Linked DNA regions of Caenorhabditis elegans. The protein of the gene in region 2 interacts with the protein of the main gene of each other region in a pairwise test. Each region holds a gene or a part of one and is shown on either strand. Other genes may lie near its edges.

Evidence for each region.
Region 1: the proteins of col-101 (region 2) and M01F1.4 interact in a two-hybrid assay, tested with the Caenorhabditis elegans proteins (one large-scale study listed by BioGRID).

The regions. Positions count from the first base shown.
Region 1 is NC_003281.10:3,503,971-3,513,768, reverse strand, and holds M01F1.4 (Transmembrane protein 245), read left to right. Parts: upstream 1-3,735; 5' UTR 3,736-3,851; coding exon 3,852-3,854; intron 3,855-3,925; coding exon 3,926-4,024; intron 4,025-4,093; coding exon 4,094-4,226; intron 4,227-4,284; coding exon 4,285-4,648; intron 4,649-4,707; coding exon 4,708-4,925; intron 4,926-5,369; coding exon 5,370-5,953; intron 5,954-6,351; coding exon 6,352-6,508; exon of another isoform or gene 6,509-6,564; coding exon 6,565-6,683; intron 6,684-6,740; coding exon 6,741-6,863; intron 6,864-6,916; coding exon 6,917-7,074; intron 7,075-7,415; coding exon 7,416-7,516; intron 7,517-7,566; coding exon 7,567-7,802; intron 7,803-7,858; coding exon 7,859-7,990; 3' UTR 7,991-8,126; downstream 8,127-9,798. Other genes in the region: Proton myo-inositol cotransporter hmit-1.3, read left to right, coding at 1-241, 302-381, 989-1,125, 1,179-1,329, 1,374-1,553, 2,351-2,712; mrpl-35 (Large ribosomal subunit protein bL35m), read right to left, coding at 2,848-3,048, 3,149-3,266, 3,367-3,524; lias-1 (Lipoyl synthase, mitochondrial), read left to right, coding at 8,733-8,832, 8,882-8,979, 9,024-9,325, 9,370-9,605, 9,662-9,798.
Region 2 is NC_003282.8:323,263-330,082, reverse strand, and holds col-101 (Nematode cuticle collagen N-terminal domain-containing protein), read left to right. Parts: upstream 1-3,062; 5' UTR 3,063-3,411; coding exon 3,412-3,449; intron 3,450-3,552; coding exon 3,553-3,769; intron 3,770-3,835; coding exon 3,836-4,564; 3' UTR 4,565-4,648; downstream 4,649-6,820. Other genes in the region: Protein drl-1, read right to left, coding at 385-490, 533-650, 692-881, 929-1,255, 1,299-1,552, 1,598-1,682, 1,729-1,905, 1,961-2,067 and 1 more.

The DNA of each region.
Region 1 (9,798 bases), on a different chromosome or scaffold from region 2:
GGCGGACTGTTGAAGCACGTGAAGTACTCACAAGAATCTATAATGGACATACAGAATGGGTTGATTATGAGATTAATGAAATTAGTTTCTCGTATGAAGAGGAGCTACGTGCCAAAGCAGAACACGCTGGAAATGGGCCAACTATTATTAGAATTTTGAAAACTCCGCATGTGAGAAAAGCAATGATTATTGGATCTCTTCTTCAAATGTTCCAGCAATTGTCCGGTATTAATACGGTTATGTAAGTAGGCTTTTCAGGGGAAGGAATGATTTTTTAAATTTAAAAAAAATTAATTTTTAGGTACTATACTGGTAATATTATTCGAAGTGCCGGAGTTAAGGACAATCACACAACTATTTGGATTTCCGTTGGAACATCAGGTTAGTAACAAACTAGCAAAATGTAGGACTTCCAAGGGAGGCAGGCGCGGTTTCAGGGCCTGATTTTTTGATTCATTTTTTGTCCTATTTTTAGAGTTAGAGTTTTGAGCTTCTTGCTCAGTTTCAAAGAATTTACTATAGTTTTGTAAGTACGCAAACAACATATATCACGGGAACATTGAATTTCGAGAATGCGTACTGGGCACCATATCTGGCGCGCAAAATATCTCGTAGCGAAAACTACAGTGATTCTTTAAATGACTGTCGATTTACCGAAATTTTTTATTAATTAATACAATATTAAAAGAAAGCAAAGAAAATTGAATATCACTGTCACAATTCGAACAGAAATTCGTTGCAAAAATCGAGCGCGTAAATCGACGCTACAGTAGTCATGCAAAGGGTTACTGTAGTTTTCGCTACGAGATATTTTGCGCATCACATATGTTGTGTAGTACGCATTTTCAGAATTTAGTATGCCAAAATATTTACGCTTCTGATGAGTTTTAAAATGCAGAATTGCCAAAAAATTGGCATAAACTAACGGGGCGAAAAAGAGCGCTGATTAAGATTTTTGTGAAAAAAAAGGAATTTTTCGAATTTCCAGCAATCAATTTCCTCGGAACCTTCATTCCAATCGCATTGGTAGAACGTGTGGGTCGTCGTGTGCTTCTCCTTGTCTCAATGATCGGTGTGATTCTTTTCCTGATCGCAATGGGTGTCTCATTCCTTCTAATCAATAATGTGAGATTTTTCTAACTATCAACAATTTTAAATATTTTATTCCGAATTTCCAGGACTCATTGAGAACATTCGATCAACAAAACTACACTTTGAACTACAATCCATCTGTGAAACATGCTGCAAAGTGTCTCAAATATAGTAATTGCGATTTCTGTGTAACTGATGAGAACTGCGGATTTTGCGAGAGCAAGGTTGCTAAAAAAGGTTTTTGCAAGCTGAAATTCATCTAAAACCAATGAAAATTCCAGGATACTGTCTACCATTCCCATCGGATGACTCTAGTGACTACTCTGCCACTGGAATTTGTGAATTCTCGAATTTGACAAACAATGGAACAGATTTCGAGTGGGAAGACACCTATTGTCACACTAAATTCACAGTATTGCCAATTATTATTATGGTCTTTTACCTTTTATCATTCTCTGCAGGTGGGTTTTGTAAATTAAAAGGCAAATGCGCTCCATTGCACCATGCACAATATTCTGGGTCTCGTGGGCGTTTTCAAGAATTTTTTTGGATTTTTGAATTTTTTAAAATGTAAAAATGTGTTTAAAAATAGTTTAGAAATGTAATTTGACATAAAACATCATTAAATTTGAAAATTTGAATTTTTGGGTTTTCCGCCTATTGCGTTAGAGCGCGAATGCACTTAGGATTAAAAAAGCGCAATTTTCAGCGTCGCCATATTATTGCACTCAAAAGCGAAAGTTTGGGTCTTGACGCGACAAATTCGTGTTAAACGCAAAAAGGTGTGCGCCTTTAAAGCGTACTGTAGAATTTTTAACGATTTTTCATACTCAATTATTTACTCGACGATGGTATTTGTTTTTATTAAAAGACTATGAAAAACTACAAAAAAAATGGAAAAATTGAAAATTCCACATCAACAAAAATTTGAAGCTACAGTACTCTTTAAAGGCGCACGCCTTTTTTGCATTTAACATAAATTTGTCGTGTCGAGACCGAAGATAAAGTGGAAATGCGCTCCAACGCTAAAACCGAGAAATTCAAATTTTTCAATGCATTTCACACATTTTTAAAACTAGCTTTTACAAAAAAGTTATCGAAAAAATGCCTGAAAACGGCCAAAATGAGAGATAAGGCACGAATTTACGGCTTTGCCTCCAACTCCTACCGAGACCCAAATAGTTCGTTGGAGCGCGATTGCACTTCAAAACTTCAAACTTCAAAATGCTTAATAATTCATCAATTCACGTAATTCCAGGTTACGCCCCGCTACCATGGGTTCTAAACGCCGAATTTTATCCATTATGGGCGAGAAGTACAGCCGTATCGGTATCAACTGCATGCAATTGGATATTTAATTTAATAGTCTCACTGACATTCCTGTCACTTTCCCAGGCAGCAACAAAATATGGAACATTCTTCATTTATTGTGGATGCACCATGGTTGCTCTTGTATTCGTTTTCTTCTTTGTTCCAGAAACAAAAGGATATTCAATTGATGAAGTTGAGATGTTATTCATGACAAAAGAAGAGAGAAGGAAAGCTCAGAAAGTTCTGGATGAGAGTAAAGAAGGGAAGCATCGGAATTCTGTTGCAATGTCTTTTGATACTAAATTCTAATTGTTTTCCTAATTTGCAAGCTTTAATTACTGTTTAAACATGTTTCAACAGTTATTCATGTATAATATTTTGTAATTGTGAATAATAAACTATTTTTATATTCCTAAAAACAAAAAAAAATCCAACAAAAAAATTTCAACAATCTTTAAAAAAACGTTTCGACGTCGAGTCATCCATCAGCACCTTCTTCCTCTCACGAACGAAATTTCCACGATCATCGACACGTGGTGAGGTGACGTTATGGCGGACGTTATAGGCAGAATATGGATCATTTGGATAATGCTTTGGACGGAGCCAATATGGAGTCATCAGTTTGTCGAGAATTTCGCACTGTTCCTGAAAATTGAATCATTTTATGAAAAAGTTGGGGAAATTGACGAATTTGACGATGAATTTAGCTTTCTAATTCCTGAAAAAAAAACCCGAAAAATTGTACCTTGGTACAGGTCTCATAATAAAGACTAGTCTTCTGCCACGTTTCATCTTTCATATATCTCAGCTTATGACGTCCTGGATGCGCGTGAATCCACATTCCATTGTTTAGACGTTTGAATCTGAAAATTTTCAGTTTTAAAAATTAGTTTCGCATTTTTAAGTTCAAAAAATCAATAATTATTGAATTAAATTTTTTAATAAGCTAATAAATAGCGTTACCTGTCTAAAACATCTTGCGCCGGCCGTTTCCGTCCGACTTTCTGATCGAATCGAATGTGATACTCGTGAGCCGGAATATTGGCGATTCCACGGGCGGCCAATGTGATCGGAGCCTGTCTTGATGCACATAATGTGCTCAACGCCGTTTTTCCCAACATTTTTTTGGCTGAAAATAAAAAGTAAAGGTAAATTTCATGTGAAATTGAGAAAAAATCAGGAAAAAAATTGATACAAAATAAAAATTGAATTTTCAAAGCGACTACGGTCAGCATTCGGTGTATGCACACTTTTCTCTCGCGTCTCTCCATTTCACACACTCTCTCGTGGCGCAATTTTTTTTTTGAGAAAAAAGAAAACAATAAAGAGAGTAAACAACAAAGTTGGACAGAATTCTATATAATTTTTATTTATTTCGGGTTTTTTTCAGTGATATTTATCGTTTTCGTTATCGATTTTATTGCCGATCACTCGTTTTTCGTTGCGTCATGGTAATTTTATCTTTAAAAATCTAAGAAAACACATTTTATTTAAATTTTTTTATAAGATTTCAATATTTCAGATGTCCTCAGAAGGCATAGAGCGCTATTTTGGCGCCGGCGACAGTGAACAACGAACAGCACTTCAATTTGCGTTTTATAATGTGCTACTTTTTGTTTTGGTACGCTTTAAATTTTAAAAATTAATTTTTAAAATTCAATTAAATTAAATAAAATCTAAAAATTATCAGCTCGGAGTCTCATTATGTGGTCTGGCTGCTCTCTACAACATGATGTACATGTTTTTATCACCAATGCTCTGGGCGGTGCTCGTTGGTACAGTACTTTTCCCGTTCAAAAAGAAGGTCGCAGATACTGTTCAGCGTAAGTTTTCTGGCTAAATTAATTTCAAAATCTTTCAAATAAATTAAAAACTTTACAGATTGGCTAAGAAATCTTCAAAAATCGAATCAAACTCTCGCCAAATCAGTGATTACTCTCCCGTTCACCGGATTCTCCAAAATTTCTGAAAAAATCTACACAACCTTCGCCAGCCCGAATGGAGCTATAATTGTTATAGCCTATACTGCGTTGAAAATTCTTTCATATGAAAGAACTTTTATGTATATTATCAGCTGGATGGGACGACTCTACGGATATTTGGATTCTTTCATTGTTTTCTTTGCGAGACCCTGGGTTCTTCCACTGATTATCGTTTATTTCTGCTGCTACGCCGCCTGGATTTATGTTCAAAACCCGAAAGAGATTAATAAGAAGCTTGCAAGATCATTTTCTCTTCCCATTTGGTAAAAATTCCTAGTTTAAAAATGAAAACAATGAATTAATTTCTTGTTAAAAATTCCAGGATCTACGTAATTTCCTACGCTTCCCTGTATTTCGGACCTCTGAGAGCCGGTGTTTTTGGAGTTTCAGCTGCTGTCCTGGGAATGTTATCAGCCGGATTAATTGGAGGTCATAGACCAAGTGAAGAATTACTTGAGAAAGAAAATTCTTCTGAAAATCTAGATGAATCCATTCTTCCTCCAAACGTGGAGAAAGTTCTGGAAACTGCGAAAGAAAAATGTGAGTTTCTAGGAAACCGCAATTTCGGGTGAAAAACATTATTTTTGCATTTTAAAACCCTTTTTTTCTATTTAAAAGTGCCAAAAATGTAGAAAAAAAACATTAATTTTTGAATTTTTCGATCAAAAAAGCCGAAGCGTTGCGAAACCACGCGCGTAAATGAGTCGATGTCCCTTTAAGATTTGTGTAGATTTACGCTTGATTTTTAGGCAGAATTCTTGATTTTGGTTTATTTTTCTTGAATTAAACGCCTAGAATAGCTTATTTAAAGCCACTTTTTATCTAAAAATCAGTTATTTAAAATTTTTTGCAGGAAAAATTCTGAAAAATGGCCAAAAACTGTGCCGCAGGCTTACAAAACGACCGCCGGCATCTTTTTAATGTTAGAAATCTGTAAAAATTCAATTTTTTATTCTATTAATTTCTAATAATGTTAATTTTCAGTGGACGCAACAGAACAATCGCTTCTCGACAATTCCCTTCTCTCCACATCAACAGTAGACGAAGCTATCACTGGAGACTGGCTAATTCGTTGTGTTTTCGGTCTTTGTGCTCTTCTTTGGGTTGTACGTCATGATGGAGCCCTGATTCTTCTCGCAATTCCATTTGTATTGGCTGTAATCTCCAGAACTGCCGAACAACTTGGAATCACTGCCGCTATCCATAATTTCCTGGATTCCACTTGGCAAAAGATGTCACCATCAGTCACAAAAATCGTGGAGATTACCGTAGCCGGGCCATTACGACAATTTGTGAAAATGTTGTTCTCATCGGATAAATATATTGTTGATACACTACATGATAAGATGGATGTATTGTCATCTGTAATAGTTATGGCTCTTCTCGCATTTTCTGCAATCTTTTCCGTATTCTTCTTTGGATTCCAACTGCATGGAGAAACGGTTCATCTTGTCAGACTTACATCGAATGTGGTGAATTCTCGTCCGGATTGGCTTGCCGCGGCGATGGATTATACGGAGGATCAGTTGGAAGAGAATAATATTGATATTGATGATTATGTTCAGCAGGTGCTGTTTTTTTTTAATTCTTAGAGTTTTTTAATTCTTAGTAGTTTTTTTTCGCTGTTTTTGCAGAGAAAATCGAGAAAAAAAATTTTAAAATATTTTTTTTTATTTAAAAAATTCAATTTTTCTGGAAAAAAGCGAATTTTCCTTATTTTGAAAGGAACATATGAATACATCGGAAAACAAAATTTCTGTAAAAAGTTATTTAAAAAAATATTTTTTTTTCCAAAAATAAATCAATTTTTCAGGAAAAAAAGCTTATTTTTATTTAAAAACAATTTTTAAAGTAAAATGCATATATCCGAATTAAATCACTTTTTCGTAAAAAAAATCAATTTTCCGAAAAATAATTTTTTAAATCGACATTTCCAACAAAAAAACAATAATTTTGCAATTTTCAGGCTTACGAACAAGGCCGTACTTGGTTGGCCTCCAATGTGAGATCCCTGGCGAACGCAAAAGACACAAAAAGAGCCGATATGCTCGAGGAGCAGGTTAAGCAAGTCGTTGATAAACTCTACAATATGTGGGAAGAGAGAAATAATAATTTCACAGTTGGTGGGTTTTTTCAAAATTTTTTTAATTAAATAAAAAAATTTGGAAAAAAGTTCCAGCAGTAAATCAGGAGCCACGCGGTGATGTCTGGACTCAATTGAAGGGGGTCACTGATTTGACAGCACTGAAAGACGAGCTAACACTGATTGTCAAGGAGAATTTGGACACTCTTATGGGGGTTTGAAGGCTTTTTTCTCAATTAAAAAAACTAATTTTAATTTTAAAAAAATTTCAGATCGCCCAATCTATTGGAGCAATTCTTGCCGTAAATGTGTCAATCTTCTCTTCACTTTTGGTCTCTCTCGCCGGAATTATTTTAAGCTTTGGAATGGATTTGCTCAACACATTTATCGAGATGGTACTGAATAATTTCTCTAGATTATTTGAAAATCGATATAAAGTGAATTTCAGATTGTCTTCCTTACAATGGTATATTATCTTCTCTCGGCTTCTCGTACTCGCTGGCTTCCTCTTCAATGGGCTTCTGATCTCTCAGCAGTCACTACAGCCGATGGCTCGTCAGCAGGAAATCAGCATCATATTACTGTAGCGATAGAACATGCGATTTTGTACGTTTTTAGGCTTAAAAATTTAGAAAATCGACTGTAAAGTCCTGAAAAATAGCTTTTTTACGAACAATTTAAATAATTAAATTTTAGGTTAATCTCTGGGTTTTATCGAATTTTCCGTAGAAAAACCTCCAAAATTGGCCTATTTTCCATGTTTTTGGGGAAAAATTTCAGAAAATTCGGCAAAAATAGTCCCATTTGTATGGGAAAAATGAAGTAATGACTTTGCCCGGGTTTGTTGGAAAATTGAAAAATCCATACATTTTGAGTAGTTTCGCCCCATTTTCTATATTTTAATGGGAATTATTATTTAAAAGTTAATTAAAAAATCCTTTTTTCAGCGGAGTATTCGTTCTTTCTGCAAAAATGGCTGTTTTCTACGGTCTCTACACTTATTTTGTGCACAGTCTTTTCGATTTGAACATTGTATTTGTTCCATCAAGTGAGTTGATTTTAAAATTTAATTAATTTTACTAAGTCCCATTTTTCCAGTGGCTGCCACAGTATTCGCTGCTATTCCAATTATGCCTCCCTACATCGTCGCAATCTTCGGAATCGTCGAACTCTGGCTGGTTCGAGGAGAAGGAGCAGCTGCTCTTGTATTCACAGTCGCTTCATTTGCTCCTGTAATGTTCGCAGATGCTACTTTTTACCGGGAAGTTAAGGGATCTCATCCATATGTGACCGGTTTGGCTATCATTGGTGGAATGTACTGGTTGGGATTGCAGGTTTGTGTATTTAACTTCTTCTACTAAAAAAGTACCTCATTTAAATATATTTTCAGGGCGCAATCATAGGACCAATTGTTCTCTGCCTTTGCCTCGTACTTGTCAACGTTTATCTCCAGCACGTGAAGCCAACAGCTCTGTACACCCCAGCTCCGTCTCCACGAAATGTGAAGCTGCATAATCATTGATTATATTAATCAAAAATATTTTTCGCATTCTTTAGACACTGCCTTTAGTTTGTTTGACCCCTGTATTTTACAAATTTCGGTTCTTGCCATTCCTGGTGAACTTTTGTCTCATAATAAACATGTATTTTTTTTCGGATTTCTGTTTATTTTGCTCATTATGGTAACGTGAAAGCCAATTTAAACTATTTTTCCGTTTCAAAAGCGTTTTATCCTTTTTAGAACTCTAGTTATGATCAAAATCACGAATAAACCACGTAAAAAGTCAAAAGGGACCTCACTATTAAGGTTTTTATGAAAATTCCCAAGATTCTGCTGGAAAAATGAGTTAAATTTGATTGTTGAAGTGAAAAAAAATGTTGCGAATGGCCTTGCGGACTACGGTGGATTTTTCTGTGCATACACCGTCACGTCTGATTGCGTATCGTGGCGAGACCCATCGAACCTCAACGCATGGCTTTTTCCGCTATCCTAAAATTTTTTCACGATTTTCGCCTGATTTTTCACGTTTTTGCGCGATTTTTTGCATAAAATTGATTGAATTTTTAATTTTTAAACGATTAATAGTGCTAATTATCGATTGTAGTTCTTATTCTGCGAGATTTGTCAGAAACTAGGTAGGAAAAGTGGAAAAATGTTCCCAAAATCCAAATTTGTCTATTTCTCAACCAGAATTTCAGTTGTAGGGGGTCCCTCTTGATTTTCAACACAAGGAGTTTAATTATTACCGGTAGATTGTTTAAGCATGCTAGCTCGGGTATGGGTCCGTGGACTTGCAGCCACAAAGAAAAAACCGCAAGTTCTCGTCAAAGATGGACCATCGCTTCAGGATTTTATTTCATCAGGTAAAACTCAAACAATATTGTTTCATAATCAAATAATTATTAATTTTAGCATCCGTGGCAGAGGCTGTTGAGAAGTACGAAGGAAAACTGAAGCTGGAGAAAGGGGACAGACGTTTGCGACTTCCACCATGGCTCAAGAAAGAAAAGGTATAGCCTATCAATTTTTTGCCCCTCATCACAATTGTTTTCAGATTCTTCCATCGGAAAACGAAAATGTCAGTCGTCTAAAAAAGCAGTTGAAACATCTCAAACTAGCGACTGTTTGTCAGGAAGCACGGTGCCCAAATCTTGGAGAATGCTGGGGAGGATCAGATGACAGTCTAGCAACAGCGACAATCATGTTGATGGGAGATACCTGCACTCGGGGTTGTAAATTCTGTTCGGTCAAAACTGCTCGAGCTCCTCCACCATTGGATCCTATGGAACCGGAAAATACGTCGACCGCCGTTGCTTCATGGGGTGTCGAATACATTGTTTTAACATCAGTTGACAGGTAACTTATTCGTATCTTGAGCTTTTAATCAAAGTAATTTTCAGGGATGATTTGCCAGACGGTGGAGCCGATCATCTTCGCAAGACAGTACAGCTGATGAAGCTCAAGAAGCCTGAACTTCTCATCGAATGCTTATTGCCCGATTTCGCTGGAGATAAGATCAGTGTGGAGAAAATGGCTACCAGTGGACTCGATGTATATGCACATAACATTGAAACGGTTGAAAGACTGACTCCATGGGTCAGAGATCCACGAGCTAAATATCGGCAGTCTTTGGACGGTAAGCAGCTTTTTTTTTTTTCAGAATCTCGTAAATATTATTGAATATTTTTTAAGCTCTTCGATACGCAAAGGAAGTCAGCCCAAAGCTAATCACGAAGACATCGATTATGCTAGGACTGGGCGAAGCTGAAGACGAGATAAAGCAGTGCTTGGCCGATCTTCGAGCTAGCAATGTTGACGTTGTCACTTTC
Region 2 (6,820 bases):
TGAAAATTTGGTAATTGGAGAATTTGGGAGAATGTGAATACATTCTTCAATGAAAGTTACTCGAAAACACTCACGAGGTTTGGAGCAGGGGTGTCGGTTATTTTAAAAATTTTTTCAGAAGACCGAAAAACGAAAAAAAAAGAAAAAAAAAGGTTAAGTTTACGCGTATCACAATTTTGGAAGTCGACAAAAAAAAAGAAATTCGCCAAAGGTTTGCCTGTAAATTTTTAAAATTTTAATACAAAAATCAAACAAATTTTTGAAGAAATTTAAGAATTTTCAAATGGCCTAGACATTGATTTTGATGTCCTAAAATTTTTGCATGCAAATCAATAATACAAAAATTATATATATATATATATATATATATACAGAAATCTATACCTTTCTAGGGACTTCCGCAGGTTTATCATGATCTGGACTTCCTTCCACAAGTATATATCCTCCAACAATTACATCCTTTTCGGGAGTTTTCATAACAAATCGGCTTCTAAAAATTAATATTCTCTGTGGGAATTTCATTGTAACAAACTTTTCCACTTTTCCACTTTCCACATCAGCGTGATATCTGTCCAGAGAATTATTACAGCAAAGTGTAGTTAGCAAAATGATAATTGGTAGCAGAATCAAAGCAATTAAAACAACGAATCCTAAGGTTAAATATGGAATTTCATATACCTTCATTTCTTACCTTCATTCAATGAGCACTGGCACGCAATTTGGATTCCATTGTAAATCAAAAAAATTGCAAAAAATACACCACCGGCAACAGCCGCCAGACTCAATGCCGCGCATAACACCATTCCAATCCATTTGACTAGGAGAACAGAAAATATTAGAATTCGGGACATATACCAGCGGATAAATGGAATGAAGCCACCCTGGAATTTTCAAATGTAAAACTTTTCTACCTTCAGTCTAATCTTACCTCATTATTTCCCCTTTCCGCCAGTTCTCTCAACTCTTCGATTTTTCGATGCTCTTCATCGTCCTCCCGTTCCACATAAAAATCATCTATCGGCTTTGGAGGATCTGGCTCTTTAGCTGTGGTAAGTGAAGCCAATGAATTTCTTAACGAGGCTTTCCTTGATTTTGATCCATGAGATTCCAAGAGATTCTGTGCAGATGGTCGATTTTCTGGATCGACGTTAAATATTTGATCAATAAGTTCACAAATTTCTTTCGATGCCGATGGAATTAAAGTTTGGGAAGAGTATATCAATTGACGACGGGTACACCATTCAGAAACCAGCTCCTAAATTACTCGATTAATTTTTAATCACTGCTTGAAATCTAACTCTATGCAAGCTCTCTCCGTGAAAATGCATGTAATGCTCCAAAAATGGAGGATATCGAGTGAGCATCGTGACAAGAACACATCCGACTGACCAGATATCTGATGATGGTGTCAGACATGGATAGGACTCTAATGACCGGAACGCTTCTGGTGGTGAGGCTAGAAGGGCACGACGTTTTTGAGCACTTGGGAGACCTTCAATAAAAGGATCCGCCAGTAGAATGTCATTTGAAATAGTTAGAAGGAGATTGGAAGCTAAGATAAATGTGGTCAATTCAGATATTTACAATTTGCACTTACCATTAAGTTTACCATGCACATGTTTTCTCTCGTGTAGATATGCCAGTGCATCAATTACATGAACAATATAACGCACGGCAGTTTCCTAAAATCCATGTAACATAGATATAAGTTAACATTTCTCAACTGACTTGTGGAATCGCTGATACCTTTACCAAATCAGCAACTGTCCCTGATGGTACATGGGCTCTGAACACCATAAGTTCGGTTTCCAGTCTCCAGTGGTATCCGTACATCGGAGCTAATCGTTTGTGACGGAGTTGGCACAGATCTTCAATTGTACGAGAGATTTTTTCAATTTCATCTGGCTGTAATTTGTAATTTGTTTTTTCGATTAACTGTTTGTTGTCGTCTTTTTCCTACCGTATTTCCTTCCTTCAACTTCCATTCCGTAACTGTATAACTAGCCATTGTTGCTGTATAAACATATTTTGACGTTTTACAAACATTTTCTCGTTCACATATTGTACCTGAAATACAGAGTGATTAGGAACGGAATCGGAGGGAAACCACTCCCTTTTCAATTCAAACTTGTGTTCTGACATCGGATTTTGTTGCAAAAAAAAAAATTTCGACAAGACAGAAAATTCAAACATTTTTTGAAAACTGGTTTGAAGTAATAGGGAAAAGTGATAAGAAAGTTGAAGTGTTCAATTGAGTCAGGAAAACACATCAAAAATTATAAAGAGTCAAAACAGTCAAAGAGCTACACCAGAAAATATTGTAGAACGTTAAAGGTGAAGAGCGTGAATGGGGATTTTACTTTAAAATGGGCTACAATCCATCAAGTTTGAAAATTGTTTGATTTTGGCTAATTTTCAATTGTGACTAATCTCCTCGTTTAAATTACCGCGCTTTTGTCCGCGCCGCATTTCGTAGATCTGCATCCGCGCTATTTTCTTTATTTCCGACGCGCAACATCTTTTTAAAGCGCGGTAATTCAAATGAGGAGACAAGTCAAAATTGAAAATAATTAGCCAAAATCAACCGATTTTTTTCAAACTTAATGGATTTTTTTTTTGTTTTTCTTTTGTGGTATTTTGTCATCTAGGTTCAGTTTTCGCATTTTAAAGTAAAATCCTGAACAGATGATCGAGAAGAGTTAGAAAAGCGACTTTATGTTTCTTAAATAATCCATTGAAAAAGGCTAGTTCTTTGTTCAGAATTCAAATTCGTGAAATTCTTCATCTTTTTGAGGCCCCACGAAAAGGGAAACTGAACGAAAAGGGGAAAGACGAAAAGGGGAATTGGCACAGTGCCAACGCACAAAACGCTAATTTTCCTGAAGAAAACGATACAACGATGTTAAGAAATTACGCACCGCGCGTTGTTTAGCGTGTTTTTCAGAAGGAATTTTCAAAAAACAACGCGCGTTGAATGAGAAGAAAGCGTTTTGTGCGTCGACAGAGCTAATTCCCCTTTTCGCATTTCCCCTTTTCGTGGGCCTCATCTTTTCCAACTTTCAAAAGACTACGATCCTCTAAAAGAAATCAATTGAACACCGAACACCAAAGCAATAGCTTCAATAGTTGAATAACAACTTCCTTACTGTCTATCCTCCACCCTCTAAATTTCTCAAAATTGCGGAAGTTTTTTGGACTAATCTGTGGAAACCGTATGTTTTTCTCGGCATGGCATAACGACAGAGAAACACAGTAGCGACCTTCACATCAAGATATCATTACTTTTTCGGTTTCCCAGGGCACGCGAGAGACGCAGACGTGTCAAAGTTCCTGGTTCAGCTGGTTGGCTTCCGTGTCTTCTGATGGGAGACAGTGAATTTCGGTATAAAAGGAGTAGATGGTGAGACCAGAATGGTACTTGACTTTGTTGTCCAGTCTCCTACAGTAATGTAAGTTTATTTTTCTATTTGGACCCATTCTAATTGTTGAGTGATGATTAGTATGTTAACGTTATTACTCGGAAGGATTATAAAGGATTTTCTAAAATTGCAGAATGACATCGGACGATCCAAAACAAGTCTCATACGAGACAGAGTCCCTTCGCAAGGTTGCATTCTTCGGAATCGCCGTGTCTACTATCGCCACACTTATCGCAATTGTGGCTGTTCCAATGCTGTACAACTATATACAACACGTCCAATCATCCCTCCAATCCGAAGTCGAGTTTTGTGCTCATCGTTCAAACGGTCTTTGGGATGAGTACAAGAGAGTACGTTTAGTTTTATTGAAGCAGTTTTTCTCTGAAAATATCAAATCCATAGACATATCTTTTCAGTTCGAAGGAGTAGCTGGAGTCGAAGGACGCATCAAGCGTAATGTTTACGAGCGCAAGTACCATGCTAAGCAACGTCGGCAATCTTACGGAGATTCTGGAGCTTCCGGAGGATTCTCATCAGGGGGAAGTGGAGGAGGATCTTGTTGCTCTTGTGGAGTTGGAAGCGCAGGGCCAGCCGGATCTCCGGGACAAGACGGAGCACCAGGAAACGATGGAGCTCCAGGAGCCCCAGGAAACCCAGGACAAGATGCTCAAGACAACCAGCCAGCCGGGCCAGACTCATTCTGTTTTGACTGCCCAGCTGGACCACCAGGACCATCGGGCGCTCCAGGACAAAAGGGTCCATCGGGTGCTCCAGGACAGCCAGGCCGTAGTGGAGGAGCGTCTCTTCCAGGACCACCAGGACCAGCTGGACCACCAGGACCATCCGGACAGCCAGGATCCAACGGAAACGCTGGAGCCCCAGGTGCTCCAGGACACGTTGTTGATGTTCCAGGAACTCCAGGACCAGCTGGACCACCAGGACCAGCTGGACCAGCCGGAGCTCCAGGACAGCCAGGTCAAGCCGGACACGCTCAACCAGGACAACCAGGACCACAAGGAGATGCTGGAGCTCCAGGAGCGCCAGGACAGCCAGGATCAGCAGGACAACCAGGAAACGATGGAGGGGATGGAGGACAAGGAGCCTGCGATCATTGCCCACCACCAAGAACTGCCCCAGGATATTAGATTTTTTAGAAAATGTTTTGAAATCGTCTCAAAAATTATAATAATTTTGGTGATTTTACCATTAATAAATACTGCCAGCATCAGTTTTTTTTAAACAAATCTGAACGCTCACCGATATGCATCATATCTTTCATGACATCTTCATTAATCCTCCAATTCTGAAATTCGTGCTTAGAAACTGTACTGCATTGAGTTGGAGTTGGAGATGGACACGCAATTTCTCTGAGTCTTTTCAGATGTTCTTCGCTCATTTTTATCGAACATGGAGAATTCCGTCGTTTGAATGGAAATGTGTCTGAAGGGCGCAGTGGAGTTGCCACATCATCTGTCTCTGACAACTCGGAACGTTCTTCCTCTGATGGATCTTCTTCTTCTTCTTCTACAATAATTTCAGGGTATTTCGTGTTGTTCGGAATGTGCAAGTATTTCTCCTCTGAATGCATTTTTGACGGAACTGAAATGTTTCAATAAATTTTTTAAAGTTATAACATAAAAAACTAAGTACTTTTTTTTTGTACGAGTAGATGAAGTAATCAGCTACCAGAATCTAATATAAAATTTTGCCAAAGACCTCCCTCTAGAATTCTGAAAAATTCGCTCTGAGAATGTTTCTCTTCGTCTCACGCTTTTCAACACTCTCTCCCGTTTTCATAGCTTTATTTTCATTTTCATTTTAAGAGCGAATTTTACAGATTTTCAGAGGTCTTTGGCAAGATTTTATATTAGATTTTGGTAGCTGATTGATTCATCTACTCATACAAAAATAAAAAAAAGTAAACTTCTCTAAATTATTTACTTGTGGTATAAAAACTTTCACAAAAAGAGGTGTTTGTTGTCGAAACAAATAGGTATGTTTTGAAAAAAAAAACTCAAGAAAAACCAAGAAAATGTATAATCAAAGAAAGAAAAAAATTTGAGCAAAGTGAATAAATCATACAAAATCTATGACTTCCAATTCAAATATGAAAAGGAAATTTTTGAAACAAATTTTTCTAAGCTTACTTTTTCATAATTTTTCTACACCCACTTATTGTAAAACACATTATCTTTTAGACATTTGTCACCAATTTACCAATATTAAAAAGGTTGTTACGATTATAGTTGTTTCACGTTTTCAAGAATTCACCATAATTTCTGAGCATTGTTCAAAATTTTATTTAAACCTAAAATGAAAAATCGAAAAAAAAATCAATTGGAAGTTTTCTTATCACTTAATTTTTAACAACACACATATACCCCACATAATTCCAAAGTCGTTATCAGTAGAGAAAAAAAAACTATTTATGCACAACAGGAGTTTAACAAACGGTTGTTATTGGATATCGTGGAAAACTGAAAACTCCCTTTAAAGGCACCTACATATTTTTCGACGGGTCTCACGAATGCGTTTGATTAAAACAGTTTAAAAACTAATATTTGATCGGACAAACACCTTTTCAAGTTAATTAGCGCCAGAGCGATGCTAATGTCAAAAATAATATTTATAACTTGCCCCACCTAGCTATTCTTTTTTTGTCTAATTTTTCTATGTCTGGCATTTGCCGTTCTGCGACTCATAATTTTTTTTCGGCGATCGACATTTGCCGTTTTCCGAAAAACTTAGTTTTTTCGGCATTTTTCGGCACTTCTTTTTCGCATTCTTAAAGTTGTTGATGTTTTGTTGTTTTTTCTTGCATTTTCTAAATCTAAATAGTACAATTCCAAAGTTTGATAAGGAGGTTTGAATTTTAAAGCAAAAATCAATTTCATATTTAAACGACCAGACTGTGGGATAGTCAAAAAGGATCCCAGAGGCAAGATTGATTCAAAACAATTGTACACGTGAACAGTCATAGACAACATCTTTGACGGTTTTATGATGGGGTGACGATGCGGCGACTAAAAGAATATGGCTAATAATTCAAATATGTTGATTTTTGGGAAGTTTTAGAAATGTTTACAGGTGACTTGGGAGTGTTCGGATACAAGAGACACAGAGATGTCCTTTGATTGTGTTTTTATGACTACAATGTTTGTAGATTTATGTTTCAACGGATGAATGTGAAAAACTTGAATATTCGATCAAATTAGAAAAAAAAACATTTTTGACAAATGCCGAAAAATGCCGAACATTTTTCGGCGTTCGCCCATCTTTCGACTAACTTTTTTGGCGAACGGCATTCGCCGTTTGCCGTTGCAGCACAGCCCCGCAACCTCTCGTTTTTATTTGATTATTGCGGTTTTGCCCCATTTCTTAAAAAAATTACGTTTTCAAAT